4 linked regions of the Drosophila melanogaster genome follow. The protein of the gene in region 4 interacts with the protein of the main gene of each other region in a pairwise test. Each region holds a gene or a part of one and is shown on either strand. Other genes may lie near its edges.

What was found.
Region 1: the proteins of elfless (region 4) and RpL40 interact in a two-hybrid assay, tested with the Drosophila melanogaster proteins (one large-scale study listed by BioGRID).
Region 2: the proteins of elfless (region 4) and CG5478 interact in a two-hybrid assay, tested with the Drosophila melanogaster proteins (one large-scale study listed by BioGRID).
Region 3: the proteins of elfless (region 4) and Dora interact in a two-hybrid assay, tested with the Drosophila melanogaster proteins (one large-scale study listed by BioGRID).

What each region holds. Positions count from the first base shown.
Region 1 is NT_033779.5:4,223,948-4,230,897, reverse strand, and holds RpL40 (ribosomal protein L40), read right to left. Parts: upstream 3,200-6,950; 5' UTR 3,091-3,199; intron 2,887-3,090; 5' UTR 2,874-2,886; coding exon 2,487-2,873; 3' UTR 2,337-2,486; downstream 1-2,336. Other genes in the region: CG3702 (uncharacterized protein), read left to right, coding at 4,010-4,051, 4,131-6,014.
Region 2 is NT_033777.3:15,932,200-15,939,439, forward strand, and holds CG5478 (uncharacterized protein), read right to left. Parts: upstream 1,536-7,240; 5' UTR 1,488-1,535; coding exon 696-1,487; 3' UTR 501-695; downstream 1-500. Other genes in the region: Fbxl7 (F-box and leucine-rich repeat protein 7), read left to right, coding at 1-304; blp (black pearl), read left to right, coding at 1,953-2,115, 2,176-2,438; Sap47 (Synapse-associated protein 47kD), read left to right, coding at 3,927-4,141.
Region 3 is NC_004354.4:18,860,543-18,869,413, reverse strand, and holds the start of Dora (dorado), read right to left. Parts: upstream 5,465-8,871; 5' UTR 3,975-5,464; coding exon 3,695-3,974; intron 1-3,694. Other genes in the region: CG7326 (uncharacterized protein), read left to right, coding at 5,732-7,180; CG32544 (uncharacterized protein), read right to left, coding at 8,489-8,871. UniProt on the Drosophila melanogaster protein: Substrate recognition component of a SCF-like E3 ubiquitin-protein ligase complex that promotes target-directed microRNA degradation (TDMD), a process that mediates degradation of microRNAs (miRNAs).
Region 4 is NT_033779.5:18,007,857-18,016,079, reverse strand, and holds elfless (elfless), read left to right. Parts: upstream 1-4,604; 5' UTR 4,605-4,703; coding exon 4,704-4,817; intron 4,818-4,873; coding exon 4,874-5,002; intron 5,003-5,068; coding exon 5,069-5,146; intron 5,147-5,214; coding exon 5,215-5,583; 3' UTR 5,584-6,437; downstream 6,438-8,223. Other genes in the region: CG31740 (uncharacterized protein), read right to left, coding at 6,587-6,772; CG42635 (uncharacterized protein), read right to left, coding at 7,254-7,652; CG42634 (uncharacterized protein), read right to left, coding at 7,742-8,086.

The sequences.
Region 1 (6,950 bases), about 14 Mb from region 4:
TAACTTTTAGGGAAAGCGACCAAAAATAAAATTAATAAGAAACGCAACGAAATTAGGTAATATACTATACATAATATTGCTCTCGAAGAACTGGAAGTAATTTACATTCATACATGCACAAGTATATTACTCATACGCAGTGTTGCGCTGCATTATATATTACGACTTAATATTGGACTTTTCGGTGTACTCCAGAGACGCCCGGTGCTCCGTCGGAGCAATTTATATTTCCTTATTGGCCTGTGCGTGTGTATTTCTGACATCTCAGTTGAATCGCCCTGGCCTCGCCCCCTATTTCGTTTTTTTCCGCCATCATTACCATTGGGATTCCACACTAGCGCCCAATTTATAAACGTTTGGCTGTTTGCCTTATCTGGAGCTGCTCCCGGGATCCTTTTGCCTCTCCGCCGGCAGGACACTTGGAGAAAAAGGCGGAACGAAGGACAAGGAATGCCCCGGCCAAGGCAGAAATTTATATCAAATTGAAAATTCTTCCTCCGCAGACGGAAAAATCCATTTATGCGCTCTCAGTAGTGAGCCAACATCGCCTACCTCCCACCTCACCTCATCTCATCTCCTCTCATCCGTTCCGAATCCGAATTCCAACCCGCGGAGTGCATATTTTAGAGGAACTTACGGGCGGAATTACTTTCGTTCGCGCAGGGCGGGAATCGGAAAACTATTCAGGCAATCAGAAGTTGACTTTGTGGCATAAGCGGTGCTCATAACTCACCCAATCCCCGCCCGGCATATGGAAACGAGCAAGTCGCATGGGGAGACTCGGGAAAACGTTCAATTTTCAATGAGCACTTTTCGCTGCAAAGTAGATGGGTGGGTGGTGCTTGGATGGTGCGATGGGCGGCGCCAAGGCTGCTCCTCGCTGGATGAGGCAGTGCCTGCCCTGCAATATTAATGCTGGCCAGGAGCAACGCCCAGAGCGTTAAGAGTGTCAAGCCAAATGACTGACCAGCGGAGACTTCCCAGATGAGGACACTTGGGCCACCACTCGAATCGCACTCTTAATTATTCTGGTCACATCTGTTATGTAAACTGCGACCCATCCGGCCATAAAAGTCCTGCTCCCAAGAATGGCAAAGGCGGCGCCCAAAAGACAGAGACCCAAACTTGGACGGGCTGCAAAAATTAAAAACGAAAGCCACGCACTTGGTTGCTGAAACGGACCAGTGGAGGCTGGAACCTGTTTGGGCATTTTCAAGCCCGTGGCCTCCAAGGCTGAGGACCCGGGACCCATAAATAAGCAGCCGCTTTTCCTGCAGCTCCGAAAGGCAGAGCCTTAATTTTTAAAATACCCGACCCTCGGCTGGCCCATATAACACCTTTGTATATTGGACGAGAACGTGGCCACAGTGGTCTATTGATAATTCGGAACTGAATGGATATAGTTATTATAGTAAATCTTATATCTTATTCAATTCTTTAAAAAAAATGTGTCATACACTTTTTTTACTTATATGGTATAAAACTATACTATAAGCAACTATAAGCAAGTATTTCTAGGTACCACTGTACTATCAACTATCATAGGTTTTTTTCGAGCCACTGCAATCCTCACCTCTGGGCAGCTCAGGTTGCTTTTCCACTTACCTTTTGCTGGGACTTTCCTGCGGGCGACGGCCCTTAACTTTTTTTCATTGTGCTTGATCCGCAATTTCATCAGTCGCGTCCCCTCCTCCAATCCAGCCACCCATTCTGCGCCTGGGAAATCTGCGCGGGTCACCCAAAAACGTATTTTTAATTAATGTTGACCGCAATTTGTGCCTGGTCCTCCGGCAGCAGCTGCTCTTCTCGGTTTCCCGCTTGTTATCATGTCCTGCCTATCAGGCAGGCCCTTTGGGTCGTCACCAGCCAGTTCTTGGGTTATTAAGATATTCATAATAAGAGCCTCCGCGGGGCCAACGACCAAGTGCTAGCATGGATTAGAGCGCCAACAACCAGTTTACCAGTTGGCCACGGAAGCCGTTGCGCGCCTTAGTCGGCGGTCAATGAAACCAATTAACTGTACTCGAAGTGGACTTGGCTTAGCTTGGCCAAGTAGGTCTGCTCGACCATCCGCGGCGTACTAGCCAGCCAGTCCCCTTGTTTCCCTTGGGCAGAAGAGTAGACCGCAAGGGTCTGGTATCGCTGGCAGATGGAATATCAATTACCTGCTGCTGTCGCCCGCTTCCTGGTGGCGAGACAGAACCAGAAACAGAGCAGAAAAACTAACTGAGATCTCGGAGAGGCCAACTAATTGCAGTATAAGAGCTTCCTAAAACCGCAGAAACTCGTTCTTCGGAGACCACAAACGAAAACAGATGACAGGAAAACAGAAACATACACGGTGTAAATAGGCTGTGCCTTGGCAGCAAATGCAATACATTTCGATTAGATGTGGTTTCACAAAATGTACATATATTTACTTAGATGGTTAACCATGGTTTTGTCGATAGAAAGACCAGCCTGGACCGTCGACGGATGATCATAGTCTACTTCAACTTCTTCTTGGGGCGCAGGTTGTTGGTGTGTCCGCACTTCTTCTTGCGGCAGTTGGTGGCACGAGGATGCAGACGGGCGTAGCACTTGCGGCAGATCATCTTGTCGCAGTTGTACTTCTGGGCCAGAATCCTGAGCGAGGGCTCAATGATACCACCACGCAGGCGGAGCACCAAGTGCAGGGTGGACTCCTTCTGAATGTTGTAGTCGGACAGAGTGCGGCCATCCTCCAGCTGCTTGCCGGCGAAGATCAGACGCTGCTGATCTGGGGGAATGCCCTCCTTATCCTGGATCTTAGCCTTGACATTCTCGATGGTGTCAGAAGGCTCCACCTCCAAGGTGATGGTCTTGCCGGTGAGGGTTTTCACGAAGATCTGCATAATGGCGGCGTCACTGAAAGCAATATAAAACATAAATCAGTACCAAATCGTACGATTTCTTAGCGAACTTGTGCGTCCCAAAGAGCGGGCAAAGATTGGAGGTTAGGTCCGACTTGCTGGCATGTTTCGTTCGACAGAAACAGCTCCACCGGTCGACAAGCACCAGTGTCCATCTTTTTCATATCACAAATACGTCACTAAACAACAATATGTTTACATTCTGCCACGTTATTGCGATTTTTCGTTTATTTTTAATATATTTAATGGAAACTCACCAGAGGAAACGTGCAACCAAATGCTATTCAAAAGAAAAAGGGAAAAGAGAGTGTGGCCGCCGCCGAGCACTGCAAATATACCAAAATACTATTTTTTAAATACCAAAACATTCTAAATGGAACTGTAAAAAATATTCAGACACTCAAATTAATTAATGCAAAATATCTTTACCATTTGAACCGAGACCAACTTTACAATATCAACATATAGTTTTTCGTGTTTTTTTATAGCCCAACGCTACCTCACTGATAGCTAAGCTAATTCAAAATTATATTATTATGGCATGAAAATGCTATTTGCATTGTATACAAATAAATTGAAATCAAAACTTGTATATAGAATTATATTTTAGATAAGGTTCAAATATTACATATTACGCATATTTTTTTTTATTGAAAAACCGCCTAATCGATTTAAATTATATTTTTAATGAATTTATGAAATATTTTTTCAGATATTAAACCTTTTGAATTTATACAAAAATATTCAAGTTGCTGTCCATTTTACTAAGAACAATAATTGAATACTAGGTTGTATAAGTATAAGTAAGTAAGTAAGTATAAGTAAGTAAGGGATATACATTTAAGCCAACGATATTCTAAAAATGTGTATTGCTAAATATGTCACATATAATAAATAAATTTGTATTTGACTTAGTGAAAAAAGTATGTCTTTATAGTGAGAACACCGTGCTTTTCCATTCTGCGTCAAATCGATAGATTCTGAAAAATACCCCTTTCGATATCGAAGTTCTAATGGCTCGATAGGTCCTCAACACTTACCTATCGATGACAGTAGCACAAGTTGTGCGGAAAACGGGAAACTAAGGGAAAAGCGTGGAAAACCCTTGAGAACAGAGCATGTCGAAAGCAGGCGAAGATCAGCCCGCAGCAGAGGGTGCGGTAAGTATCTGAGAAACTTAAACCTTTCTCAACCCCAATCACCTGACAATAGCGACCTGGTTCTCATCGTTTTTTCTAGGTGATTGCGGGCAATGGTAACGCTGAGCTGGCCCAAAATGAAGGCCAGAATGAGCAACAACAACCCCCGCCGAATCAGCCCACCCGCATGGAGTCCTTCTTTGCGATGACCAAGTCCCTCATCCTGCGTGCCCTGATCATCTACTTTGTGAGCTCCTTTTTCCGACGACCTGCGCCCGATGCCGCCAGTCAAGGCAAAAGTGTCGCTAATGCGGGTCCCAAGATCACGGCCTGGAATTACTTCGAGAACGGCACGGACTTTGACCTGCACGTGTGGTTGTCGGAGAATCCCGATGTGGTTAACTTCCAGCAAAAGGCGAATCTCCTCTGGCTACAGAAGGACCTCACCTATGGCGATTGGACGTCGGGCGTCAACGGAGATGGCATTTACACGCACAGTTTGAAGCTTAAGACCAGCCAGCATCTGATGAACAATGGCAGTGTGTACCTACATGCCTTTGTCACGCGTACCGGCATGAGTCCCGATCCCAAAGCCCCGAATTACGCCACCAAAATGGGCCACCAGCAACATCAGCTGAACAAGTTCAAGAAGTTGCGTGTGAACCGCAACTACAACTTGCTGGCCAGCGAGAAGGAGAAGTTGGAGCACGAGCTCAAGCATGCGAATCTCAAGGATACCATCGTGTCTCACTGGCATCCTAATCTCACGGTCAATCTCGTAGTGGACCAAACTAACTGGGCCGAGGGATCTGTGCCGCCGCCACTGGATGACTACGTAAAGTTCGTAGACGGCGGTAAGACCTATCTGCCCATCCTGTTCGTCAACGACTACTGGAATCTTCAGCGGGAGTATCAACCCATTAATGAGACCACTCCCGAACTGGAGCTGCACCTCACTTTCCAGCCGCTGGGCATGTTCAAGTGGCAGCTGTATGCCGCCAAACAGATGAAGAACAAGTGGGCTGGCAATATGCTCGGTGAGCTGATGGCCGCCAGCCAGCCGGAGGAGAGTGACGAGGATCAGGACTCGCTGAAGGAGACTCTGCTGGACACCAATATCTACCTGCTGGGCATCACAGTGGCCGTTTCCATACTGCATTCGGTGTTCGAACTGCTGGCCTTCAAGAACGACATTCAGTTCTGGAACAATCGCAAGTCGCTCGAAGGACTGTCTGTACGATCGGTGTTCTTCGGTGTCTTCCAGTCACTAATCATCCTGCTGTACGTGCTGGACAACGAGACCAACTTCATGATTCGCATCTCCTGTTTCGTGGGACTGGGAATCGAGGTGTGGAAGATTCACAAGGTCGTGGATATCAACTACGATCACGATCAAAAGATTCTGGGAGTGCTGCCGAGAATCAGTTTCCAGGACAAGGGCTCCTATTCGGAGAGCTCGACCAAAGACTATGACAAACTGGCCTTCAAGTACCTGGGCTGGGCATGCTTCCCGCTCCTGGTGGCCTACTTTGTCTACTCGTTGATCTACAACGAGCACAAGGGCTGGTACTCATTTGTGCTCAACATGCTGTACGGCTATCTGCTGACCTTTGGCTTCATCCTGATGACGCCGCAGCTATTCATCAACTACAAGCTAAAGTCGGTGGCCCACATGCCGTGGCGCATGATGACCTACAAGTTCCTCAACACCTTTATCGATGACATCTTTGCGTTTGTGATCAAAATGCCCACAATGTACCGGTTGGGTTGCTTCCGCGACGACATCATCTTCTTTGTGTTCCTCTACCAGCGCTGGCAGTATCGCGTCGATTTGAAGCGCGTGAATGAGTTCGGCTTCTCCGGGGAGATGGAGCAGCAGCATGCCGCCCAGAAGCTGGAGGGCAAGACAGCCAATGGAGCCATCGAAGGTCCCCAGGCTGCGCCAGCGATCAAAAAGACAGCTGCACAAAAGAAGCAGGATTAGAAGGAGTGCAGAGCTGTGACCACAGTATGCATTAGCATTAGAAGACGCAATACCATATACTCCACTCCCCCAATATGTATGTAATCACTATCCAGTATACATAGTCAAGTAATCCCGATAGAATCATTCTTAGGGCTAATTGTATGTACGTATGTTTGTGTTTTTGTTTTCCCCTGCCCTCCGCGCTTCTCGCAGCGTTGGAAGATCTAATAAATTAAGCGTGAGATGATCCATATGCCACTGCTATTATCTAATCTGCAGCCCGCTGAGTGGGCTAGACAAATGGGTAGATAAGCTTGCTTATCAGGGCGCTTGAAAATATGTACATATATACTGGCCAGATGGCCCAGATAATTATCACCTCATTTTGGAAAGATACAAGGTTTCTAAATCAATGGATAGTGGCAACTAAATTAACTTATATATCGGTTTATCAATCGATTTTTTAATTTATATTTTCTAAAGCAACTTGAGTCCCATTGATGGTTTTTTCTTGTCAAATGAACTTCACTCATAATTTTCTAAAATAATTAAATACAATTGAATTTAGGTACAGGTACGCAAAGCGGGTACATATAAGTTTTCACATTATACAGCACTACCCATTGGCAATTTACAGCACTGAAAATGGAGCGCGCCAAATTTGAACTGAACTCAAAAATAATTCGTTACAAACCTAATATTTAGAAAGCACTAAATCCAAGAAAAATCTTTTTTACATGAGGAATTTTTGAACAAGACTGAAAATTAAGATTATTAAGATGTAAGAACTAAAGCATTTATTAAGATAAAGTGATTGAGACTGGTTCTGTGAAGTTTAAACTTTTTGGAAGTGAGCACTGCATAGAATCACACCCACGACAAGCGACATTGGCATCCACTGGCATCGAAAGAGCCACAAGAAGCCGCAGTTATTGTGTTGCGTCGTAGGCTCAG
Region 2 (7,240 bases), on a different chromosome or scaffold from region 4:
CGATGACTCCATTACGGTCCTGGCGAGATCCTGTCCACGTCTGCGAGCCTTGGACATCGGGAAGTGCGATGTGAGCGACGCGGGGCTTCGAGCTCTGGCCGAGAGCTGTCCGAACCTGAAGAAGCTCAGCCTGCGCAGCTGCGACATGATCACGGACCGCGGGGTGCAGTGTATCGCATATTATTGTCGCGGTCTCCAGCAACTGAATATCCAGGACTGTCCGGTTTCCATCGAGGGCTACCGGGCGGTCAAGAAGTACTGCAAGCGCTGCATCATCGAACACACAAATCCGGGATTCTGTTGAGATGTTCCATAGCCGGCGGTAGACACCACAAAGCACAGAGGCAGGCCATATGAGCACAGATATAAAGGGAATTTATGGGCAAAGAAAACTCTTGAAAAACAAAATAGTTGATGAAGTGGCAGGCAAATTTTAGCCATACACGGACTTTTGGGTCCTCAAGTCCCCAAGTCTTAGTTCAATGATTAACCGATATAATCTATTGGTTTGGATATAATTTAAATTGTTCTCTGTAATCAGCCACCACTTTGCCCGAGCTAAATGAGATTATTGTAAATTGTATATATCAAACTGACGCAGGACAGAACTAGCGTAGCATAGAGCATGTTCAGTAGACTATGTCTAAGTAGACTAATTCTTGGAGTAATAAATTATTTTCCCCACCAGAAACGGTTCAGTGCTTGGATTTTGATTTTTTCGCCTTTCTCCCCAGAGCGTCGAAAATGTTTGGTTTCAATTGCGGCACATGGTCAAGGATGTACGGAGGACGTACGTCCATAATTTCCCGCGTGTAGTGGTTGCCGTGCTTGGTCTTGCGCAGCCGATCCAATTCGATGGTAGCCTTTATTGACGGCCTGGAGCCCTCCGCTGGAGTGATCTTTATCTTGGTGCAGTGCCCCCGCTCCAAATAGTTAATAGTGGCGATCAGGGAATGTATATCAGCGATGACGGACGAGGTCTGCTCGTGGATTTTTAGCAGAGCCTTCAGATTGGCATATATCCTGGCCAGCCGTTTGTCCACGGGGGATTGATTATTAGGATCACAGTTCTTTTTCTGATGCGGAACTGAGTACTTGATGAACTGGCGTTCGTTGCCCTTCGGTGGTTCAGGAGTCTCCTTGCACGGCTTGGGCACCAACCGCTCCGACACCTCCATCAGTCGCACCTGCTCATCCAAACTGCTCAAGGGCAGCTTTCGCATTATGCGGCGCAGCTGCTTGCGCTTTTTGGGCGTGAGCAGGTGGTGGTGCTTCTGAAAGCGCTCCACTCCGCGGTGCAAGTTCTCCATCATCTTTACCCAAACGTCCATGCTCCTGCTCTCCGCCTCGATTTCATTCTGGAGTCGTACGCGCTTTGAGCGAAAATGCCGTATTTGTCGTTGTAGCGACTTCGTCTGATTCTGATCATTCAAATGCTCGCGGACCAGACGGTCGTAGTCCTTTTTCCAGTTCGGTTCCTGAATCATTGGCTTAACTAGGGAATTTCGAATTTTTAAAAACGATAACTGACAAATGCTATCGATGACAAAGTAGTCGTGGTAAAAATATTTAAATAATTGGTTTTAAAAATATTTCGATTCTCGATGATATAGCTATTATATATATCGATAGCTAATTATGAAAGCCGTGTACCATCTCCAATCAGCTGTTTCACCTGCTTTTCGCCGCCTGCTCGTTAGTAAATATCTGGAGTAAAAGCTAAAATTTACCTGGTAGCTCAATACAATTATAAATCACATTCGAAATTAAGTGTTAAAAGTTACGTATGCATTTTTTTAGAAGGACGCCTTTTAAATAGTACAATTGGAACACGGAGGGTCACTACGGTGTTGCGTAATTAAAGCGACACGTTTTCTGAGACCCAAAATTAAGCTGTACACATAGAATGCCGGTGTTTTGACGTACGAATCCAAGGAATACAAGAAACCGTCATGGCCAAGTATATCGCCCAGATCATCGTGTTGGGCGCCCAGGCAGTGGGAAGAGCCTTTACCAAGGCGCTGCGCCAGGAGATCGCCGCATCTCAGGAAGCAGCACGACGGGCGGGTGGTGGCAAGCAGGGCGACAAGAGCGCCGAGTCCAACCTGCGCACAGGTGAGTCTTGGACACAGTCATGCTATCTATTTCACTATTTACACCTACTTATCAATGCAGGCATGACGCTGGAGGAAGCCAAGCAGATCCTGAATATAGATGACCCCAAAAACGTGGACGCTATCACCAAGAACTACGAGCATCTGTTTCAAGTCAACGAACGCTCCAAAGGCGGCTCCTTCTATATCCAGTCAAAGGTTTTCCGGGCGAAAGAGCGGCTGGACCATGAGATTAAGGCCCATGAGCAGCCGAGGTCGTCAAATACGGAAGCAGCGCAAGATACGGCGGAGGAGTCTCAGAGCAGATCGCGGCAGCGACGCTGAGTATCCTTGTTGTCCCAATCGAACTAATTAGCTGATAATTGATTTAAAAACTACGTGTTAAGTACAAAAAATGAAAGTCTGTTGCTGTAAATAGAGATTTACGAACATGAAGACAAGTGTAAACACTTTCTGAGAAGAGCTCGACTTTCCAGGAACACAAATGTAATGGAATTCTTGTAAACTAACACGGATTAGCTCAGGCGGTTAGGTATAAATATTTTACTCTCAGGCCAGGTAACTAGAATCGGATCGATTTTAAGATCACGCTTCTTGGGGTTTGAAAATAAAAATATTTTAAGTATCAACAAAGTTCCATGTCTTGATCTAGCTATAGCTAAAATTATGCTGATGTAAATAAACTAATGCTGCAATGGGCTTCCAAACTTTCGCAATAGGAACTTGGAAATTTTAAAATCAGCTGTTGCAGAAGCCAGAGATGCGCGAACATATCGGTAGAGCTATCGACCGACAGCAGTCAGCTGTTCGATGGGCAGCACTGGCCGAGAACAAACCGAAAATAATCATTACTGGTGCGCAGTTGTTGTTTCCATAGACGTGTCAATTGTTTGTCTAATTGCGCCAGCAGCAGCAAAACGACGCCAAAGCACACATGCGCATTCCAGCGCACAAATATCCCACCCACGAAAATCGCAATACCATCGCCCCAGCAACGCGGAGGAGGGGGTGGACTCCACTTTTCCAGGGAGAAAGCGAACGTACGCATACGAGAATCCGAATCTGAGAATCCCCAATCCCCGAGTCCAAGAGAGCGAAGACGACACTCCAGCTCGGTATTTGAGACATCGACATTCCGCTGCTCCGTCAGTTTTCAGAGGACCTTCGAAGTGGGCAGCCGAAAATCCAAAAGTCTCCTGGCAGCGAACGGAAAACCAAAGAGAAAAAAAATAAGAAAAGCAAAATCCAGTTGGCAGAGAAAAGCTCAAGTGGTAATTGGCTGCGACTCAAATTACTTTAGTTGTGCAAATAGCGAATAGCTATAAACCCAAAAAGAAAAGAAACTCGAGCGTGGCGTGTGTCCATGTGGAAAATCGATCGAATCGCAGAGTATTTATCGTGTAATTGTGCCCAATAGCCACGCAATTCCCAGTCCGTTTTATTGATTTTCCCCACCGCCTCGCCAAGTAGCAATAAAAACCATTCTTTTACCTTCCATCTCGGCCATCTGGACAAAGCAATTGCAGCGTGAAAAATTCAAATTTCAAGTTAAATGCGAGAATTTACATAACGCCGAGCGTTGAAAGTGAAACTTCTGTGGTGCGAACGAAACACTGAAAGAAAGGAAAACCCATTACAGGACATTCTATCTGCCTCTGCCCAGTGTAGTAAAAGTTGGAGAGCCAGGAGCGGGAGAGCAGTGGAAAACCGTGAGAACCGCGAGAACAAGAGAGCCTAGAGAGCGTTGAACGTGCGCACGTCTTCCTGGTCAGGACACACCACCAATCCTTGAGAGAAACAGCAGGAGCCAACATGTTTTCGGGCCTAACAAATCAATTCACCTCGCTGGTGGGCGCCGTTAAAGGAGGCGCTGGCGACGAGGATGTGCCCGCGCCCACAGGAGATGCGCCCGCAGCCGCTCCAGCAGCATCCACATCCGTGGAGGCCACGGCCTCCTCCGCCGTGGACCCGGAGGCAGCTGCCGCAGCCGGTGGCGAAGGACTCGAGGGCGAGGAAGCTGGCAAAAGGTAAGTGTGAATCGAACAATGCGCGCTGGGTAATCCTTCGGCCCATCTTTCTAGTCTTCCGTGACTGTGACTCCGAAATCCAGACTTCAGTCGACCTGACATGGCGTGCCAATGTGACCTTGCTATTTGTACCTTTTAACATTTCGCTCCGTGGAGTTCCTACCCTCCAGCAATCGCTCCTTTACGGTACATTCATCATTGTTTTGACACACTCCGCTTATCCTGCATTTTACGTTGCATTCCGCACGCTCTCACGTGACTGAACATAATTGCTTAAACTGGAATCCAAATGCCCGATAATTTCACTCCCATATATATCCTATATGGCTCCGCTTCCTTGCGAAGCTAGTCGACTGACTTTCCTGAACATTTCTGGCTAGCAATTTCGATTTGAAAATGCCAGGCCAATTTGTGGTTTAAATGGATTTCGTTTGATTATTCTTGAAATGGCAAATCGCATTGTGAAGACTGTATTTCTTTTTAATTGTTGAAATATTTGAATCGTTATAGAATATAGCATAAATCAGTCTTCAAAAGAGTCTCTCAGCTTGGCATATATGTATTACTTAGTATGGTAGACTGTCAGTAGTGTAATTCTCCAAGCGAATTTATTTGCCCTAATTTTGTTGACCAAAGGAAATTCCTTGAACTGTCAGCAAACGGAAAAGAGCAACTCCATGCTTACTAACTTCCGACTGGTTTCTTTTCTTTTACTTCCCTCAAACTGAGTGGATAGGACTGCCCTATTTCTTTTCGACCTCGCCGTATCATTTGACCTCGTCCTTCGCGCTTCTTCTGGGTACTTCATCAATCTCTAGCAGGCATTCCACACCCTAGTTATGTTGAGTTTGCTTTATCCCACAAGAGTGTTACTGCCGTTTCAGCCTTCATTTCCTCGAAATAAATGAAAGTAAATTCCAATTATTCGGCTGATATTTTGGACAAGTTAAGACCGCTGTGATGGCCCGTTAATGCCACAAGTTGCTGGCTAATCCGGAAGATCAGCCAAAGTCAACTAACGTTGTTTTTCACTTAATTCAGCTCATTAATATTTAATTGTGCGAGTGTGCGCTGGATGCCAGGATGTCAATCCGGGGCACGTTTTTCCAACCAGCTGCCAACAGCTGGTGTCGTCGTGGTCGTCGTCGTCGTTGTTGTCTTTGAAACCCAAGTCCGTGATGTGTCACGCCTTTTCAACGGGCCGCCGTTCTCCTTCTGCCCCGCAAGTCCTTTCACTATCAATTGACATTGACGAGTTGGACCACCTTCGTGTTGTTCTTTGTATCTCGTCTTTATTTTACTCTTTTTGTTTTCTGTACGTTCCAATGAAAATAATTTGCACGTGGCTCCTGCATAACCACAAAATGTTGAGTCATTCGAGCTGGCGGCGCCCTCGTCCGCTTTCACCACTCGTACACTCTGGTTTTTTGACCATCTTGCTGTGTGCGAAATACTGTCACCAATGCCGATGGGTAGAGGTGGAGCATTCGGAAGGGGGCTGGCTCGGAGGCAGGATGTGTTCCTTTTGGTGGTTGCTTTCCAGTTTCCAGTTGACTTTTGCTCGTTTTGCGGATCGATACGAGAGAGCCGTGCGAAAGGACGCTCTATGCTTCTCTCTGCGAAATGTGCACATGTGATGAGGCCACAACGAGTAGAAACGACGATGGCGCCCGCTCTAGAGGATTTGCTACTCCACGACCCGACCCGCCCCCTTGTTGTCCTTTTGTCAGCCTATTTAATAATTGTGCATTCAGAAAACGTGTGTGCTGGCTTGTTGCCTGTCTTTACGCCTGTGCCTGTGCCCCTGCCACTGTCCTTTTCATTTCCTCGCTCGCCAATCAGCGTCAAATCTCTATAATTTTCAATGAATTAATTTATTCAATTTTCGCTGTCATGCATATTGAGTTGCTCACGAAGGCAATGGGGTTTGGTGATTTAGCCCAAAAATCGGTCAATATTCGATTAAGGGCTGCCCAAAAAAGTAGGCTATGCCGGAGAAATAAGCGAATGCATCTCCACCCATTAGTTAAGCCCCTCAAATCCCCACCTGTACATGCGTTTCCTCGCTCCTTTTCTGATTTTTTCTCTGCCTTCGCCAGGGCCAAAGTTGTTGGCGCTTTCAAGGACATTTACACTATTTGCACTTGCTCTCTGCGAATGTGTCTGTATGCGTGTGCCCTTGCCTTTGTTGCTAAAATTATGCCAAAATAAAATGAAAACAAATACGAAGGGAGGCGTATGAGTACGAGTAACTAACTATTTCATCTTGCGCCCAAATTGCTTGGCAAACAAGCTGGACAAAGTAAAAGTACGCAATGCATTCCTAACGCCGCTTGACACAATTTACTCACCAACAATAACAGCTAACTCTTGATTGCTAGCCAGTTGGGTCATTCGGGTCATCATTAGGCACACAAACAAAAGTTAAGAATTAAATATTTGCACATGTCGCATGGTCTTGGCCTGATTGAAATATGCCCTCTATATGCAAATAGGTATTACGAGTTCTATTCAAAATATATAATATAAATATTACATTTGAGCCAGGGTCCAACGAGCAGTGGAAATCAAAGTCCGGCCGAGATTTTCCTTTTTTTCCGCTCACCTGGAGACGGCAAACATAATAAAATCAAAGCAATGGCCTCAAAATAAATAAATAAATGCGAGACTGGCGAAATGGAAAACCCACAGAAATTTATCGAGCGACATTTGGCCTCCTGAACCGAACTGAACCGAACTGAATACACACATTTCCCAAGGATATAAAAATATAAATAAGAGAAACGAGACGGTCGGCGGGAATCCAATTGAAATGCTGCCAAGCCGAATGCAAAAAAAAACCCCACAGGCTACTTAAATTTAAAGGCGGTATTAAAATTTCATGTCAAGGCAAGAGACCGCCGGACATATCGCCATTTGCCAGGACATGGCGTGGGTGCTAACGACGCCCTGTGTCCGAGCGCTCGCCATTTGACATTTGCCAGCCAAATTAACGCCCTGGCCTGGCACCAAAAGCAGCCAAACAATCCCTGTGGTCAGCAGCTACTCCTCCTCCTTCTCCACTCGCTGCAATTTCAGTTCGTTTCGGCAGGACCTTAA
Region 3 (8,871 bases), on a different chromosome or scaffold from region 4:
AAGAATTCAGTTAAAAGGGACTTCGTGGAATCCGAATGACCGCATGAGTCAGATTGATTTGATTGAAGAAGGCTTAATAGATGATTCACGATATACGTGCACGTATATACATACATATATACATATATATGCCATTTTTCCCATTGAACTTCTTTACGGCAGATTCAAGGCTGTTGCTGCCCCTTCAAACTGGTTTGCTTCTTGCTTCAACTGGGCTCGCTCTTGCGTTCGCCCTCGGAGTTTTTATTTGCACTTTAATTTGTTTTCCATTTCCATGCGTCGCACTAACGAAACGTGCAACAATAAAAGGGAGAATATGCAACACAAAGACTCATGCTCCAGTTATTTGTGCTATGCCGAACGAGCCCCTCAAAGTTGAGCAACTATTCGACACTCCGATTGGAGTTCTTCCTTGAAACACATTGCCTAACCAAAAGGATTTATCACGAAAAGTGCAAACCACACTAAATGAGTTATCGCAGTGAATCTAGTTTCTCCACTCGCGACCATTTAACACATGGTCATGATAATTTACAAGTCTTTTGAAGAAGCTTAGTGATAAAATTGCCTTACACTGGCATAAAGCAATGCGAATTGTTTATTTTAAATAATAAATTATAATCAAAAATCATTTCCTTGGACTTCTTATGGACTTATGCGCTGAAAATATGCTGATAGTTAGTACTTGTGCCATGCTCATACATATATATTTTTTTTTCCAGCGACAAATTCGGGTTGTTCGGCACAAAAAGCTCGCACGAAAACCAAATAACAAAAAAAGGGGTCAGGTCAAAGTGCCAGCAAGCATTTCTGCACATGTATGTGCAACATATGTTGGTGCAATTGTTTTGGCTGCGGAAGTGCGCGAGACCGATATGCACGGCGAAAAGTGAAAAATACAGCTAGTCGCTGTATCTGTATCTGTATCGGTATCTGTTTCTGTTTCAGTTTCAGTTCGAAATTGACACCGAGCGAGCCTCGACCCACTAATTAGATGATGACATGTGGCAACGCTGGCCACACAAGGCACGCACATATTCACAACCCGCACACCTCTCACGGACACGGAGTTGCATTGTCAGCACTGCAGCGTGACCATTGCACGGTTTCGGTTTATTCGGGGTCATTGCATCGCATCGACATTCTGCGCTTTACGTTTATGCGGGGCGCACTTGGCGAACGTTCATCTGCGTTGTTCCTGTCATCCCCTGGATGCCAGCTCTCAAAAGTAGGATTATAAAATTGGGGCCACTTCAAAACTATACTTAGCTTAATTGCTAAAGTTTGTTTTTTATTTTAAAATGGTATTCTCTTTTCCTTAAAAGAAAACTTGCGGAATAGTAACAAATCGGGGTCACCATAGTCTATATATTTAGCTAAGTAATGTTCCTAATGAAATGTTGTTTAATGTTGTTTAAAGTCAATTGCAATTTGACAACACGCAAATTGCCATTTGCCGTTTAATTAAATCAGGCAGGGAAGCAATCAGTACGTTAATTAAATATATATCGATCGGGGTCACCATACTCTATTTTCAATCAAATACACTTGGGTTTTGTGCAATTCGGTATAAAGGCCATTTCCATTTGGCTTTTACACACAACGGACAAGGAATTTATCAGTATAATTATCGATTGAGGTCACCAAACCTTACATTCAGACAAATGCAACTTGCGTTAACTGATGTTCGTTTTCCAATGTTCTGTTTAATGGTAAATCATGCCTTCAAATTAAGTAAGTAAGATGCTAGTTAAAAATAAATAGAACCCCCTGGTTGCGCACCATAGCTTGGCTTAAAACATTTCAATTATGGCATGTTAAATGCTCGAACGCACAGAATTCTTATGATGTATATACATAAGCCTTCAATCGCATCAGAAGCCGTTGACAATTGTGGATCAAATCAATGGGCTTCTTCCGTTTCAACTATCTGAAGAACTACCATATCTGGGGAGCCACAGCAAACGGGGCGGAGGAGCTACAAGGTGCGATGGGAATAATGGACTCTCCTCCGTGTCGTCGTCGTCGTCGTCCTCGTCTTTATTTTTATTACATCCCCTTGGGCAGGTTGTGGTGGTATCCTTGAAAAGGTTCTTTGACACAACAAAGCGAGGCTCTCGTCGCCTCAGCATCGACGTCGAAGTCGACGTCAGCGTGTTCAGCTGGCAGCAGCGACATCGTTTTGAGGCAATATAGTTTTTTGATGCGGTTATTATGTCTTTCGAGCATGAAAATGCAGCTGGCTTCGCCACTACACACACACAAACCCAGTCGCAGGGCTAGCTCTTTGGCTATTTTCCCGCCAAAATCGAATAGCTTAAGCTACTATCTATTGGTCCTTTAGGTTTACAAACCAACAGCATATGAACAAATAGATATTTGGCTAACTCCTCTGTTTATAGGAAGTAAAAGATTTGTATAACATAACAGAAAGATAAAAATGATTAAGATTGAGCAAAGTTCAGCTAGTTTTGCCTAGTACATATACTATATTTTGTAATACTAGTGCTTAGTATCAATAAATATCAATAAAATCAACAAGCTGGTAACCCTGGCTATCAAAGAATCCACAAAGAAGACAACTGAATGGTTGGAGGTTCTTTGGCGGCTTTGCCGCTCTGTTTAGTCCTTTGACCCTTCCAAATATAGTCCTGTTTCCCCCCACAGCAACACTGCTCAGTCAAACAAAGGAAAATAAGCAAACGAATGCAGTGGATGGGCAAATGACGAAGACGAATGGAGGATACGAAAGAGAAACAGCGACGAGGACGAACTGCGCAGTCGCAGCCAGATATCCAGATATTACATGATGATAGTGCTGTGCGGCGGCGCACAGGATACAGAAAACGTGTAAGGAACGTCTCTTGGCAGGCCCGAAACAAAAAAAAAAAACAATACCCCAGCCACATGCACAAGCGTAATGAGCCACAGGGAAAGACAAAGGGACGCAACAAAAAGGTAAAAAGGAAACTCGTATAAACGAATGAAAATAAAAAACGTTGGCAGCCAAAGTCGTGATTTTGACTTCAGCGATAAGCAGAGGACTTCGAGGAAATGCGGGGAAACGAAGAAGACAATTGCAGACAGAGGGCAACAACAATTACAGCCTGCTCGTTGTTGTGCCTAAGTCAATTTTACAGAATTTACCAAAAGCGAAAAGGTCATGCGTATAATTACAGGCAGCACAGTGTAGCCATATTGCAAATAGCCAAATGCGACCAAGCTAGTAAAACATAGAACTAAAGCATATCACTCTACTTAGCTTAAAAAGTAAATTGTGTAGCAAGTAATTGATTATTTAACGCTATACGGATATAAATCTGTATAAAATGTACATGTAAGTTTCTCATTGTAAAGGGAAAGTTATAGGTATAAACTATTTTGGTTGCCTTATGGTTTTAAAAACAATTAAGGAAGTCAATATCTTTTGTATGCGACATATGAAAGCTTCTTATGAGAAAGTCTTTCTTAATTCCTGAATAAAAGAGGATACTTTTTTGATATCTTTAGGACGCACACTTTTCGAACTCTAAAAACTGTCAATGTTGTACAATGTTTTTCGGATTTTAAGAAGCTCTCTTCAGTTTAGATTTGTATCTGTGATTTTCACAACTGTAGTTTCACTGGTGTAATGCTCAATGGTCCGGGTACACTGCCCTAAATCCCGCCCTAGCAACAAGGAGATGCTACTCACCATAATGTCTGCCGCAGGTGGATGTGTTGGCCATGGCCGTTCCATTGCCGCCCGGTGTGCAGGAACCAGAGGCTCCTGCTCCTCCGAACGGCGGTGCTCCTGAGCCGCCGGCCACAGCCATACCGCCCATGCCGCTCAAGCCGCCATTGCCTGCGCCGCTGCCTGCAGCGGGCTTCTTCCAGCCGCGCCAGTTGTTGCACAGCGATTCCGGTTCAGAGCTCCAGCTGCAGAGGGAGTCTTCCTCGAAGCGGATGGAGTCGTCGAAGCTGAAGCGGTCCATTTCCTCCGGATTCCATTCGTTGGCCGCTGCTCCTGCAGCGTCTCTGCCCGCCGCTCCGGCTCCTGCGCCGCCTCCTGCTGCTCCTTCGGCGCCAGCGCCGACTGCAGCCGCTCCTCCGCCTCCTCCATTGTTGTTGTTGTTACCGCCGCCTCCTCCTCCTCTGTTGTTGTTGCCGCCGTTGCGATTCGCCAGCGTGAGGCTGAGATTGTGTGTGTTTACAGTTGCTCCTTCTACTGCTGAAGCTGATTCTTGTTCTTCTTCTTCAGCTGCTCCCCCGTTTGTTTGTTTTCCTCAGCTTCCTCTTCCTCCGTCTCTCTCACTGTTACTCTCCTCTCTTTTTGGATGGATGTATATGTATAATGGATCTCTGCCAAACGCTCAATTTAAAATCGTGTAAAAGGCGAATTTCTCTTGAGCGTTCTTCTCTTCCTCTTTTCTCTCTCGCTGTGTTCCTCTCCTTCGGTTCTCCCCTTTCAAACTCAAGCACACTGCCGGACTCGCTTGCTTTTAATTAACTTATTAACTGTAGATTTATGCTTAGGGCTCTAAGTTTCCCTTTTAGACTTAACTTTAGGTTTAGATTTAGATTTTGGGGAGTTTAAAAACTATTTTTGTTTATATGTACAAAATACGTTCAGTGCGCCGCGGTCTCTGTCGCTGCCTCTGCCCGCGTCGACTGCGACTGCTATTGTTTGTTGTCGTTGTTGTTGCATGTGAACTTTTTCGTATCCCCCAACGAACGAGAGAGCGAGATGGGGCTATGCTATGCGACTGCCGAAATAAGAGGGCCAATTTGTAGTTGTAGTTCTTGTTGTTGATGTTCTTGCTTCTGTTATTATTGTTGATGTGGTTCTTGCTGTTGTTGTTGATTTTGCAGGGGACCCCCAGTCGTTGTTATTGTTGTTAACGCTCCTCTTTTATCCGCTCTGCGCTTTGCAGTCCGCTTTGCCGTTAATTATTTTTTCACTCCTTCGCTTTGTGGCTCATCTTCGCTTTATCCTGCGCGCACCGCACTCACTCTTTCTCGCTCGCCCTCACTCACTCACACAGCAGTAGCAGCAGCAACAACAACGTTGCACACAACATCAATATATTGGATATATATCAACACTTTTTCGCCTGCGTGCTTGTCAGTGTGTGTGTGCATGCGTGCGCTTGTCGATTTTCACTGCCTTCTTTTCTTTGTGTGTGTATATGCGCTGCGCGTTGTGTTTGTCTGCGTCTGTGCGTGTGTTAGGTTTACGTGTGTGTGTGAGTGAACGAACGAAATGCGTTTAGCGAACGTTTTTTTAAAAAATCCTTAAATTTTTTGTGGATTTTGGCGATTACCGACACTTAAAACGGCACTGCACACGCGTCCCCGAAAACAACGGCACCTAGATTCGCTGGCCGAGTTACGATTTGTTTGATGCTACGCACGGTTTTCGGACACTTTTACACGGGGCTTTGTTTTTACCCATCGCATCGTCGACTCTTTTGCTCCTAAACGTTGTTGGTGTTAGTGGTCAGCGATAGTGCTCACACACTCGATATGGGTTTTCGATCATTTTCGGCTGAATATTCGATAAGGTCAATAGTATCGGTTTTCCGCGTACGATTTCCCAGTTTTCAAATGACGGTCACACTGACATTCATTCTTGACAATCGATAGTTTTTGTCGAGTGACGCTCTTAATATCGAAAAACCATAAGTAACGATAGGCCCATTTTGTTGGTGGTGTTCACAATCTTCTCGCGCTTTCCCAGGAACTGGTCAAGATGCCCATCGCCGGGCTGTGCATCGAACTGCGCCCGAACCTACGCAGCGGCGTGGTCTTCCTGCGATTCGACCAACAGGTTTCGCAGAGCCAGAAGACTCGCGTCGTCGTCCGCGACTACAATGTTTATATCAGCGAGAAACCTAAGAATCAGGCAATCGACTTGGATTCCAGCTCCGAAAGCGACAGCGAGGACTCCGACAAGCTGATGCTCATCCGGCACGCGCAGTATGGTATGGACATTGTCTGCCTGTCCACGTTCTTGGTCAGTGGCAGGAACATCAGTTTCCGCTTCAACTACAACCAGATTGATCTGGCCAGCGTGGATGGAAGCGCTGTGGACGTGCCTCTGGCGCCACTACTCCTCTCCTGCCAGGAGAACGAGCCCATCACTATCAACTGTCGTGATTGCCGAGCGGAATTGGTGGCAGGCCGAAGCTATCGCAGGTTGAGGGAGTTTCCCAGCCTCTTGGTGGATCCCACTGAGTTCTTTTGCCACAATCATGGACCAGCGGGCAAGACCCAACCAATTAGCTTAGTGCCCGCCGAAACGGATCTTTTCTATGGCCTCAACTATGTGGTCATCAACTTTAACGAAGAAAGTTCGTGCATGCTCAATCGCGACGATCACTTGTACTGCCAGCGCTGCATGCGTTATTTGGGGCTGACCATGTTCGATGGCGCCGCCGCTCGCATCTGGGCTGATGCAGTACGTTGGCGTCCCGCAGGAGCGGCGACAAATGCCCCCGATCGCCACTTCTTCCAAAACTCCACGCTAACGCAGCTTTTCAAGCGTCTGCTGCACTCGCTGTGGCCTCAACCGTTGCCTCAGCTCTGTTTGAACACCAGTCGTGCGGTGCTGGTCACCTCGCTGCCCAACCGAAATCAGCAATACATGTTTTTGCACGTGGTGGAGTCACAGCTGCGTGTGCTGCGTCGCATTCGCCCAAATTCGAACCGACTACGCTGCTTTCGCGCCTGCAAGCTGTACTACGGCGTTTTTGGAGCCAATCCGCCGCTGCTGGAGAAGTGGCAGGCGCAGCAGACGCTGCCCCAAATGGATGTATCACCGAACATGTTCCTAAAGATTCAGAAGCGCCTCGAGACGAATGGCCACTTGATTCCGGACGCCTTGAGCACGAACTGTGCGGAGGAGCACCTGCAGTTGTCGTACTTCTTTTATGAGAACGAGGATCAACACGACGGCGGGGTCGTCGCTTCGGATGTGTTTACGGATCAAATGAGCAACGTGTATCAGAAGGAGGTGGATCCGTACGAGACGGATGCAGGACATGCCAGCGAGAGCGATGACGAGTACTCGGATACGGACACCGCTTCGGGGGACACGGCGGCTTACTCGCTCGGCATGCGTACCCTGCAGAAACGCAGCCCCACTCCGCCGCGGTCTTTCGCCAAAATGGCCACCTCCGCCTCGCCGGAGGACAAGTAGTGACCCAATCCGATTCAAAAATCAAGCATAGCTTGTATGTCGGAAACTATGTTACTTGTTTTCACTATACAAAGACGGACTTGGCCCAATAATTTGTCAAAGATATTTTTTTTTTAAAGTTAGCCCTTGATTGATAATCAATTCCATCCAAAATACTTTACTATGCCTTTGATTCAAATCCTCACATCCTTTGCTTTTGTTTATCGTTATACATTCGCTTAGAATGAATTAACAGTACGCGGAATTGATAACGCCAAAGACTATTTATTGTTTTGTGAAGAAAATTTTGATTTTATTGCTTGACTCGATCGTTATATATATATATGTATATTATATATAGTTTAACAAACGTTTTGCAACAAGTATTAGCTGGATAAACGACTTCTATATATATGTATGTACTAGCACAAATGCAGTGCGTTCCGTGACTGTAAGTGCCAATGTCTTGGCCTTACAGCTGCGAAACGCACTGCACATGTTTTGAAGAAAAGTAAGAAGATTGTTTGCTTTTGCTTACACTTTGACGTTCCCTATTAATTCACTTAAGTTAACGAGAAAAAAATGAGAGTAGAGTAATAGTTTAAAAGTAAAATTGAAATATTGAAAATATTCAATTTTAATATATTTTCAAAGAACTGAATTAACAAGTTTTCCAAAATGTGACTTACCAAAACAAAAAAAAAAACAAAAAATGGACTAAACGAAAAAAGAAAAGTTATTGCTTACGAAAAACATATATTATAAATATATACTAATATACTTCAATATGTTTCCAGAAACAAGATTAAAACAGAATATGTATGAACTATGATTTAGCTGCGTAAACATTTACACACAACTATTATTGTCCAACATTTGTAATTCTGTTCGCAACTACGCATGTCAACGAATAGCCGAGAAAAATTGTAATTTCAAAACTCTGATGTAAAGTATATGGAAAACAACTATTTATATGTATATATTTAAAGTCAAAATGGGATGAATGTAAGGCGGAGCAGTGCGCGCCGTGACTGTAAGACGGTACTACAGACAGTCATGCATGACTCGCACTGTCTGCACACTCGATAAATGTGATTGAAGACGCTTTGGGTAATCTCAACTTGTGTTTAGTTTTAAGCGAAACTCATGTGTTCATCCAAATAAAGAAGAGGAGAAGAAGGCTGCCCGGGATCAGGCGACAAGGATCACCTGAGGAGTGAGGATAAATAAAGTTGGAATCATATACACATTCATTTCATGAAGCAAACGCCTGTTTCTTTGTGGGCTTCGCGGGTCAGCAATGGATGATCACCTGCTCAAGGGGGCACTTCACTTGGCCAGGCGGCGCATCTGCTGTGTCTGCTCACTCATGGCTATCTGAGCGTTGTCCGCCTGGTTGATCAGCGCATCCAGCTTGTCCAGCTGCGAGTCCATGCGCTTCTGCTTGGCCGCCTTGGCGGCGCTGACCTCGGCAGCCGTCGGCGGAGGCTTGGCCAGTGGCTGTTCCTGGACAGGAGGACGCTCCTCCTGGGTGGAGGCGATTGAGCCCGATCTACCAATGCCCGCCGAAAGATCCACCGAGCCCGAGCTGGCCCGGGCAAATATGTTGGTCAAACTGCCACATGCCGTTTGCTTGAAGCGATTCAGCTTCTGCTGCGTGCTGGACAGGATGCTATTGAGCTCGCCCAGCTTGCCGCCCACATTGCCCAGAC
Region 4 (8,223 bases):
CGTTATTAAACGCATTTAAATCATCAACTCTTTAATTCCCCTCTTATTTCATGATCATAAAACTGTAAAATAAACTTCAATATGAAAGCAAACACATGCGATGTGCGATGCTTCTGTTCCCGACGAGGACGCCACTTGAAAAAATACCATAAATTGTGTTATTGAGTTAGCAGTGGGGCTCTCATCACCGAAAAAGCTGAAACAAAACACAAATACGGACCACGAGAGCCACTTTCAGACTTGGCAAACAAAACAAAGTCACCGAAGACCGAGAATTTGTGTGTATTTTGGTGGGGATATTTTTGTGTCTTCGTTTTATTTCTTTTGAAGTGCCACACAACCAAAACGGAGCACACAGCTTAGAGTATTTCGGCTTCTTTGGGGCATAATTCCCTTTAAAAACTTTAACGATTTTTAAATAATTTTTTATTGTCGAGAAATTCGCTGGGGTATGATTGGCATTCAAGAAGTTTTAAGTGCCAACATCGCGACTGTGCCTCACAAACTTTATTTGCGTCTTAGTTTAATTTCTGAGTTTATTTGGTTTGTTTGCAAAGTTGTATAAACGGTTGCGCCCATAAACCAATCTCAGTGGGGCCAACGACAAAACAATACATTTGCCATCATTAAATTAGCGACATAATTCCGTTAAAGCCAGAGTTGCGGCCATATTGGCAATTTAGCCTATGAATACCCGTGCTAAAAAACATGGACTTCAAGGACACTCCCTACCATTTTTTGTCCAGTTAATCCCATTGTTTGCCAATATTGCGTGGCAATATTTTTAAGCCGCATTTATGCGTTCGTTTATATTTAATTTGCATTCATAAATTTGCATAGGTCACCATTTCACTTCGGCAAAAACCAAAGTATAATAAACTTTTGCGTTTATTTTGCAGCATTTTGCACTGAAAAACCAGCGAAGTAAATGGCGCTAGGCAAATAAACTGGAACTGGGATTGAATTGTCACAGCTGCAATTTTTCAAATGTCAAATCAAAACAGAAAACCAATTACTTTCGATGATTAATTACCACATTCTGAGGAACAAATGCTGCAGACCGCAGAATGATTTTGATTGCGAACTGGGCTAACAGTTCGTTTGATTTATGATGCGATCAACCCTTTGCTGACAAGTCCCCGATGTGACGTGGCACTCATCCCATATTCCCAAAGGACCCCCAATCCAAAGTTTCCTGAACTTGGTCCTGCGACATGGAAATCACCTTAAAATTCATAAGTTAGTCCGGAGGGGGACAAGACAGCAAAATTTACTAAAGGTTCCTGGGGGCTCCAGGGAGAAACCGCAAGTAAAACAGCAGCTGCATGTCATTAAGTATATGGGAACCCCGGCGTAATCCTCACCACTTGGCGCCGCGCAACATGGCGGATGCGTAACGCGACCAACTTTTCAGCGCTTCATTTCTCGAACATTTAGAACACCCAATTTTTGGAGTATATGACACCTTTCCGCCGACACTGCGTTTTATTTAATATTTTTTGCCTATTTTTTTTTTTTTTTTGTTTAAAAGCTGCAGATTATGCGCACAAAAAGCGACAGTTTATGTATGAAATTATGCAAACCAGACCAGCAGACGATAATGATGGTGGTTTGAAATCCTGCGGCTGATGATGATTATTTTCCACAGTCAGGACTCTTTAAGTCCGTCAAGGCCGTCGCAAAAGTGAAAAAAGAGTTGCGCTTTGTTCAAAATAAAAGTGTTTTTTTTTTTTTTTTGGGATTTAATGATTAAAATTAAAAGTGAATTGTTATATGGCTGCATGGAAAATTCATATTTTAATTACAATTTGCTTCGGCCGTAAGTGACCCAAATTTAAATGTATAAAGAAAGAAAGGGTTCCTTTCAACCCTTTGGCAGCCGACAGTGTCCTCAGCTGCATGCCTGGTTGCATAATTATGATGCCAAACTGGTTCGCTGACCAGCAAGAAAAAGCATGCGAAAGGGAAAAACCCCAAAAGTCTAAAACCCAAGTTACTTGAGCATGACGAATGGCTTTGTTGAGTTTACCACTTTTTCAGGAGATTTTATTAAAAATTCCTTAGACACAGGTGCTGTTTGCAAAAGTTTCCAATTCTCCTTCTGCCAAATAATGGGATGGATGGTTTTATTTCTTTGGCGTTCTCTGTGTCCTTAACGCTGGTGAAACCTGTTGTCGAGGATTAAATATTAATGGCACCCATTAATATAATCTTCGGCCATCCGAAACCGATAAAATTTCCCTAATGTCGCGATATTTATTGGCTCTAATTTATGCTCGAGAGAAAGGAGCCCAAAATCAATAACACTTCTGTAATTACTCATTGATTTATTCTACTCAGCTATTCAGGGACGTATTTTCAGATTCTAGGAAAGTTAATTTTTTCGCGGAAACCGTTTTAAGCGAAACCCTCTAAGAGCGGAAGTATACGCGATCTGATATGTTCGCGAGTGCGCAGGTAGTGTTTGTCTTGCGGTTTCTGATTGGCAAGACATCCGAGCAGGTGTAAATCAATCTTAGCTCAGAGGTAACTACTCGTGTGCCTTGGAAATATAAAGATAAACAACAATATGCGTGGCCAATGGGAACGTTTTTCAATCGATTTATAAAATGCTTTTGGTAGTTGTACTTTGGTAGAACTGTATAGAATCATGTAAATTCATATTTATTAACATTTAGATCATATTTTTATAACTTTAAATATGGAAATTAAATACAAAAAAAAAATAGACAAGGATAAGATAAGGTAAATTTATTCATTTTGAGCAAATAAATATGGTTTTCCATCCATAGTTTTTTAACATGACACGTGGAAATTTAAAAATAAATATAATAAGTCTGCCCCATCCAACCCTTTTCTTCCCAAAAATAACAGTTTGAAATTTATTATCAAATGATATATTATAAAGTTATTATTATGGAAGGTACTGAATCAGGTTTGACCTCTTTCTTCTCTTTTTCGCAGCAATAAATTACGCATAAAATTAATTCCAGGTAATGTTATAAAAACAAAGTAAACAAAATCCAGGGATCCTTCGTCAAACTTACCCAATGCACAACGGCATGTAAATCGAAAATTACCAGAAATTGTCACTTTACATCACGCCTGCTGCAGGACCTATAAATCATACTGCACACACACTTATGCACGGGCGACACAGGAGCCACAATCTGGTCTAGTATTTTGGCAGCGCAGATCCTTTCGGGTATGAGTGTGCGAGTGAATATTCAAATCAGTTGCTGGCTGCCAATAAATGAAACTTGCCACACATCTCACTCACTGAGCGCACATACACAAACACACGCCCACACACACTCTTAAATTGTGTCGGGATATTTGAATGGTCCCGTGTATTTAGCAAATGAACCGTACTTTCTGTTCTGTTTAACTTTTTGGCAACCCGCACTAACCAAATATTACAGACTTTAGCACGGCAAAGCGATCGGCGAACGGGAATCAAGCTAAATGCCAGATGAATGGCACCGTCATTACGACTTTCGCAACTCTCGGGCTGCCAATTAACTCGCCCGATAATTTAATTACGGTTAGGGCCTCCAGGATTGGGTCCTGATGTGTTGCCAAGTCTTATCGGCCAGATCTGCGGCAGAGCAATCCTACGGATGAAATACGCTAAAATCACTGGGCTGATTAAGCCGAATCGAACTGCAATCCGCACTCTGCGCGAGCCAAACGTACACTGAAGTCGGCCGAAAGCGCGCTGAAAGTTAAATCGGAAGTCGAGAACGCGGCTGGAGCTTCCAACGGCTCGAGACAGTCCGAGCGGCACTTGCAACATGTTGCAAGTTCGTGTGTGACTTCGGGAATTCTATGTTGTTGAGTCCGGACTTTCGATCTTTGAATTTCTTTCGTTGTAGGGAGTTACTTCTGTTAGCATATTTTTTAATTTTATGTTAACCATTTAAGATACAAACATGAGAGAATGCTATAGTCGAGTTCCCTAACTTTTAGATGCCCCTTACTCAGCTAGTGGGAATACGAACGCGAAATTCGATCATTTTTCTGGGATATCGATGAATGTGAAAACATTTAAAAATTGTTCTAAAGTCTGGGCGTTAGAGTGGGCATGGCAAAAAGTTTTGTGTCTAATCGATAAGAATTAACAAGACTAATAAAATTATAAACAAATTTGATTTGGGCGGTTTGTCGTTAGAGTGGGCGTGGCAACAGGGCCAAAAAATCTGTGCTGCGTCTATGTCTCTAGAATCTGTCCGCTTAATCACAACCTTCTTGCTTTTATAGTTCCTATGATTCTTTCATACGGCCGGCAAGACAGGCGAACATAGCCAGATCTACTCGGTTTTGTATCTTAATTAAATGGAAATTCCTTCTATTTGTTTCAACGAATCTAGTGTACCCTTTTACTCCACGAGTACCTGGTATAAATAGTACTTCTTAGGGTGACAATCCTAAGCAAATATCCAATTTGGAAATCATGGAAATCGGACAATGATTGTTGGCGCGTTGAAATGGTACTTTTTATCGCAGTGTGACCTTTGGCACTTAAAATACTGGTATTGTGTCCTGGAACTTTCAAGATTTTTTGACATATGTTCAAACAGCTTTCTTGTAAATTTGCAAATAAAAAGCAAGGAAACGGGTTCAACTGAATTTGTAAAAAGTTGTAAGTTCCAAGGCAGAATTCATTGGTAGTATTAAAACTGCAAAAACAGGTGCGATTTCAAATGGGTGATTCCAGCGACTCAGACTCTTCTACTGAATGGGAGCAGAACACTAGGGTTATTTCCTTACCCTTTTCCAGAAACCGTTCACATTTGAGCTCTCGCCTCAGTTACCTGGTAAGTTCATGTTCACCCAGCTCTGAAATCTATTGATAATACACTTTATGGAATAGGTGGGACTTCAAATGGAAAACTTCAGGACCTCGAATAATTCTGGAGTATCACAGCGAATCCATAACACCGGGCCCACTCCCGTACTCGCGCCCTCCGGATTAAGATCCCGCTTACTCAGCGGTTCCTCTGTAAGTTATTGTTCTAGCCAGGTCCCACCCAGAATCCATTGGTTACATTACAACATCATTTAATAGGAGCGGAATCCAAATGAGTATTACGGAGACTCGGACTCCTCAAGCAGCAGCAGATCTATCGACAGAACCCCATTCCTGGTAAGTTCTTGTTCGTTCATCTCGATCCGGAATCCATAGGTTTTAATAGCTTTAACTTTGTTGTGCAGTTGGAGTATTCCAGCGACTCAGAGTCGTCTAGTTCCAGTGATAGTGAAAGCTCATCGACCAGCATTAGCTTCGATAGCAGTATGAGCTCCACCGAATCATCAACACCAATGGGACATACAGAATCCTCAGATTCAAACGAGGATTCTCCTCCCAACAAACGGATCAAATCAGATGACGAGGAGTCCAAGAAATCTGTCTTGCCCTACAACTGCCCTGTGTGCCTGGAAGATGTCCGCGAGAAGCTACCAGTGTCCACCAATTGTGGCCACGTTTTCTGCAAAGCGTGCATTAAGAGAGCTGTCGACACTGGCAGGGTATGCCCATTGTGCGGAGTGGATGAGCCCGAATTCCATCGTATTTTCTTGTAAGACGTGATATGGCAGAAAGCATACTAAACTAAAAATACCACGGTTTTAAATACCACAAATAGACTTGTGGCATATACTTTCGAAAGACCGTAACACAATATTCACACCTAAAGAAACTGTTGCTCCATTATAACAACGCAAACAAAATCTTATCCCAGGCAACATACTCAAGAAACACAATGCAATCGAAAACTTTCAGCTGAGAAACTAAAACTCAAATACAAGACAGACAACTTTGGCCATAAAACATGGCGCAAGGACACACTCGCATACTTGCAGGAAACCCCGGAAAAATGGAAGGCAAGCAATGAAAATTCCGACCTACCGCAATAAATTCCGCGGAAAAACAAAGCAAGTGATGCCAAAATAAGAGTGAAATGGCCAGCTCACACACACACATGAATGTAAATGAAGTGGAATCACCACCTCAGAAAAACTCAGGGACACCTCAGACACGGCCCTGTAAATCGCGCTTATCCAAAACACAACATGGCATCAGGAGGCATTGGAGATTCAGTTTCATTTTCATTCAAAGATTGAATAATAGAAGGGGGTGTTCCATCCCTACCCCAACAACCTTTGACCTGACACAATGCTCTACATTCTATGTTTTTGTTCGAGTTGCGCGTTCGAATCGCGACTGCGCAATAAACCTGATGCCCCAAACAGCTGTTCTAGGCAAGACCTAGGACAACATTTGCATCCTTAACTGGAGGCTGGCCATCCACGTTTACATTGACGTAATCCACTTGCCAGGTTGGATCTATTCGGTGTTGAGATATATCACAAAGCAGTTCCTTTTGTACTTTAATTCATTTTATTACTGAACAGCTTATAATAAAAATTCTTTATGTATACGAGAGCTTAGTTGGTTTAGCCCCGGCCAAGGCAAAAAGGAATTCGAACAGCAACATATTTCTCCAGCAGTCTTTTCCAGAAGGTTGATCTTTAAATTGACTTGTTACCGCTTGCTGCCGTATTAATGCCTATGATAGCGGGCGCTTCACCAGCCGCAAGGACACGAGCTGCAGCCACCACAAGGACCACATGGACCACAGCAAGGACTACAGCAACCTCCACAGGGACCACATCCGCAATAGGGAGTTCCTCCCATCAAAGGAGCCAGGCAGCCGGGTGGGCAGGGTCCAACGTAGAAGGGATCGAAGCTGCAGCAAAGCATCAGAACCATCTTGAAAGTTTGGATTTGGTAAAGGACACTGGAATCTCTTCTAAAATCTGCAGGAGGGGCTCAAAAGGTACGGCTGCAACCATTCAAAACGGGGTTTGTTATTAACAAAACATTACCAAATATTTAAAAATTACTATAGGGAACAAAGCAATTTTACAATTTTTAAATTGTATAACTTTTTTATTCAATTTTAACGAACTAGAACGTACCTGGGATTTTTTTTCCTGCTGAAGAAATACGTTGAAGTTAATCCTTGGCTACGAATTTAGAATTTTTGTTCAATTTTTCATATTGTTTTTTTTTGTGTTTTATTTTACGAAAGAGATGTGTTCAGTCCAAGCTGTTCAAAATGAATGAGCTCTCTAGGTTTCGAATCCCACAAAGCCCACAAGATGAGTGAAGTTTATTTCCAAGGCCAACTAGAGAAAACTAAAAATTTCCTTTTTTTTGCTTTCTATTCGACATAGTTGCTGACTAGATCCTACTCCTCTTCGGTTAATTCTGCCGCTGGCGGTGTTTCAGGTTTTACTACTACCGGTTCCGAGTCCTTTTTATCCTTTTCGTCTTCCTTGGAGGAGCCCTCGGAATTATGTTCACTGCCAAACTTAGGAAGCAATGGTCCTACAAAGGCACATGCCTTGCCTCCAATACTTTGTACCACGGAGCAGGCGCCATCCATGCGATCGCCCTCTACTAGAGGAGTTTCGCCCTCGACGGCGGACAGCTGATCCGCCACTGGACCACCGCGCCTCACAAGGTCAGCGATCGGATCACGGGTTTGGTTTAACACCCTGCCACCCACTTCAGTTAACGAACGGGAAACTACCATAAACAGGGCCACTATGCCCGCAACTCCGATGGCCGTGTGAACCATTTCCATATCTTGGGCAAAGGAGCAGGATCTTCTGGAGGATCAGGAGGGTCGATGTCGGATTTTTCGATCGACCACGATGACAAATAATTCTAGGGCTACTCTCCAGCCATCGCCGAGATGGTATTATAGGTCGAACGGGCCAAGTTTCGGATACTTCGCGAAATTTCATTTATCAGGTAGTTAATGTCATCCGAACTGACCACCTGCTCCTGGTCGACATGGTGCTCCGGCGTTGAATCGTTTACAATCAAGACTATTTTACGAACGGGCTGAATCATGCCGGATACATCGATCACGGGCTCCGACACATGGTGATCAACCAGAAATGCCTGATGCATGATGATCACCAATTGGCGGATTACTGGCACCACGCGATCGAGGACGTTGATTGCCATTGGGGCCAGTACGTGGTGTACCACGTGATCCACAGACGAGGACATGACCAAGAGACTTGAATTTTGAATTTAGAAAACTATTTTCACACAATTTGCGACCTGATAAACTAAAATTCCCAGGAGTTCTAATTTGAAATCTAAGCCATTTCGATTGGAATATTTATATTATTTCCCCAGCAATA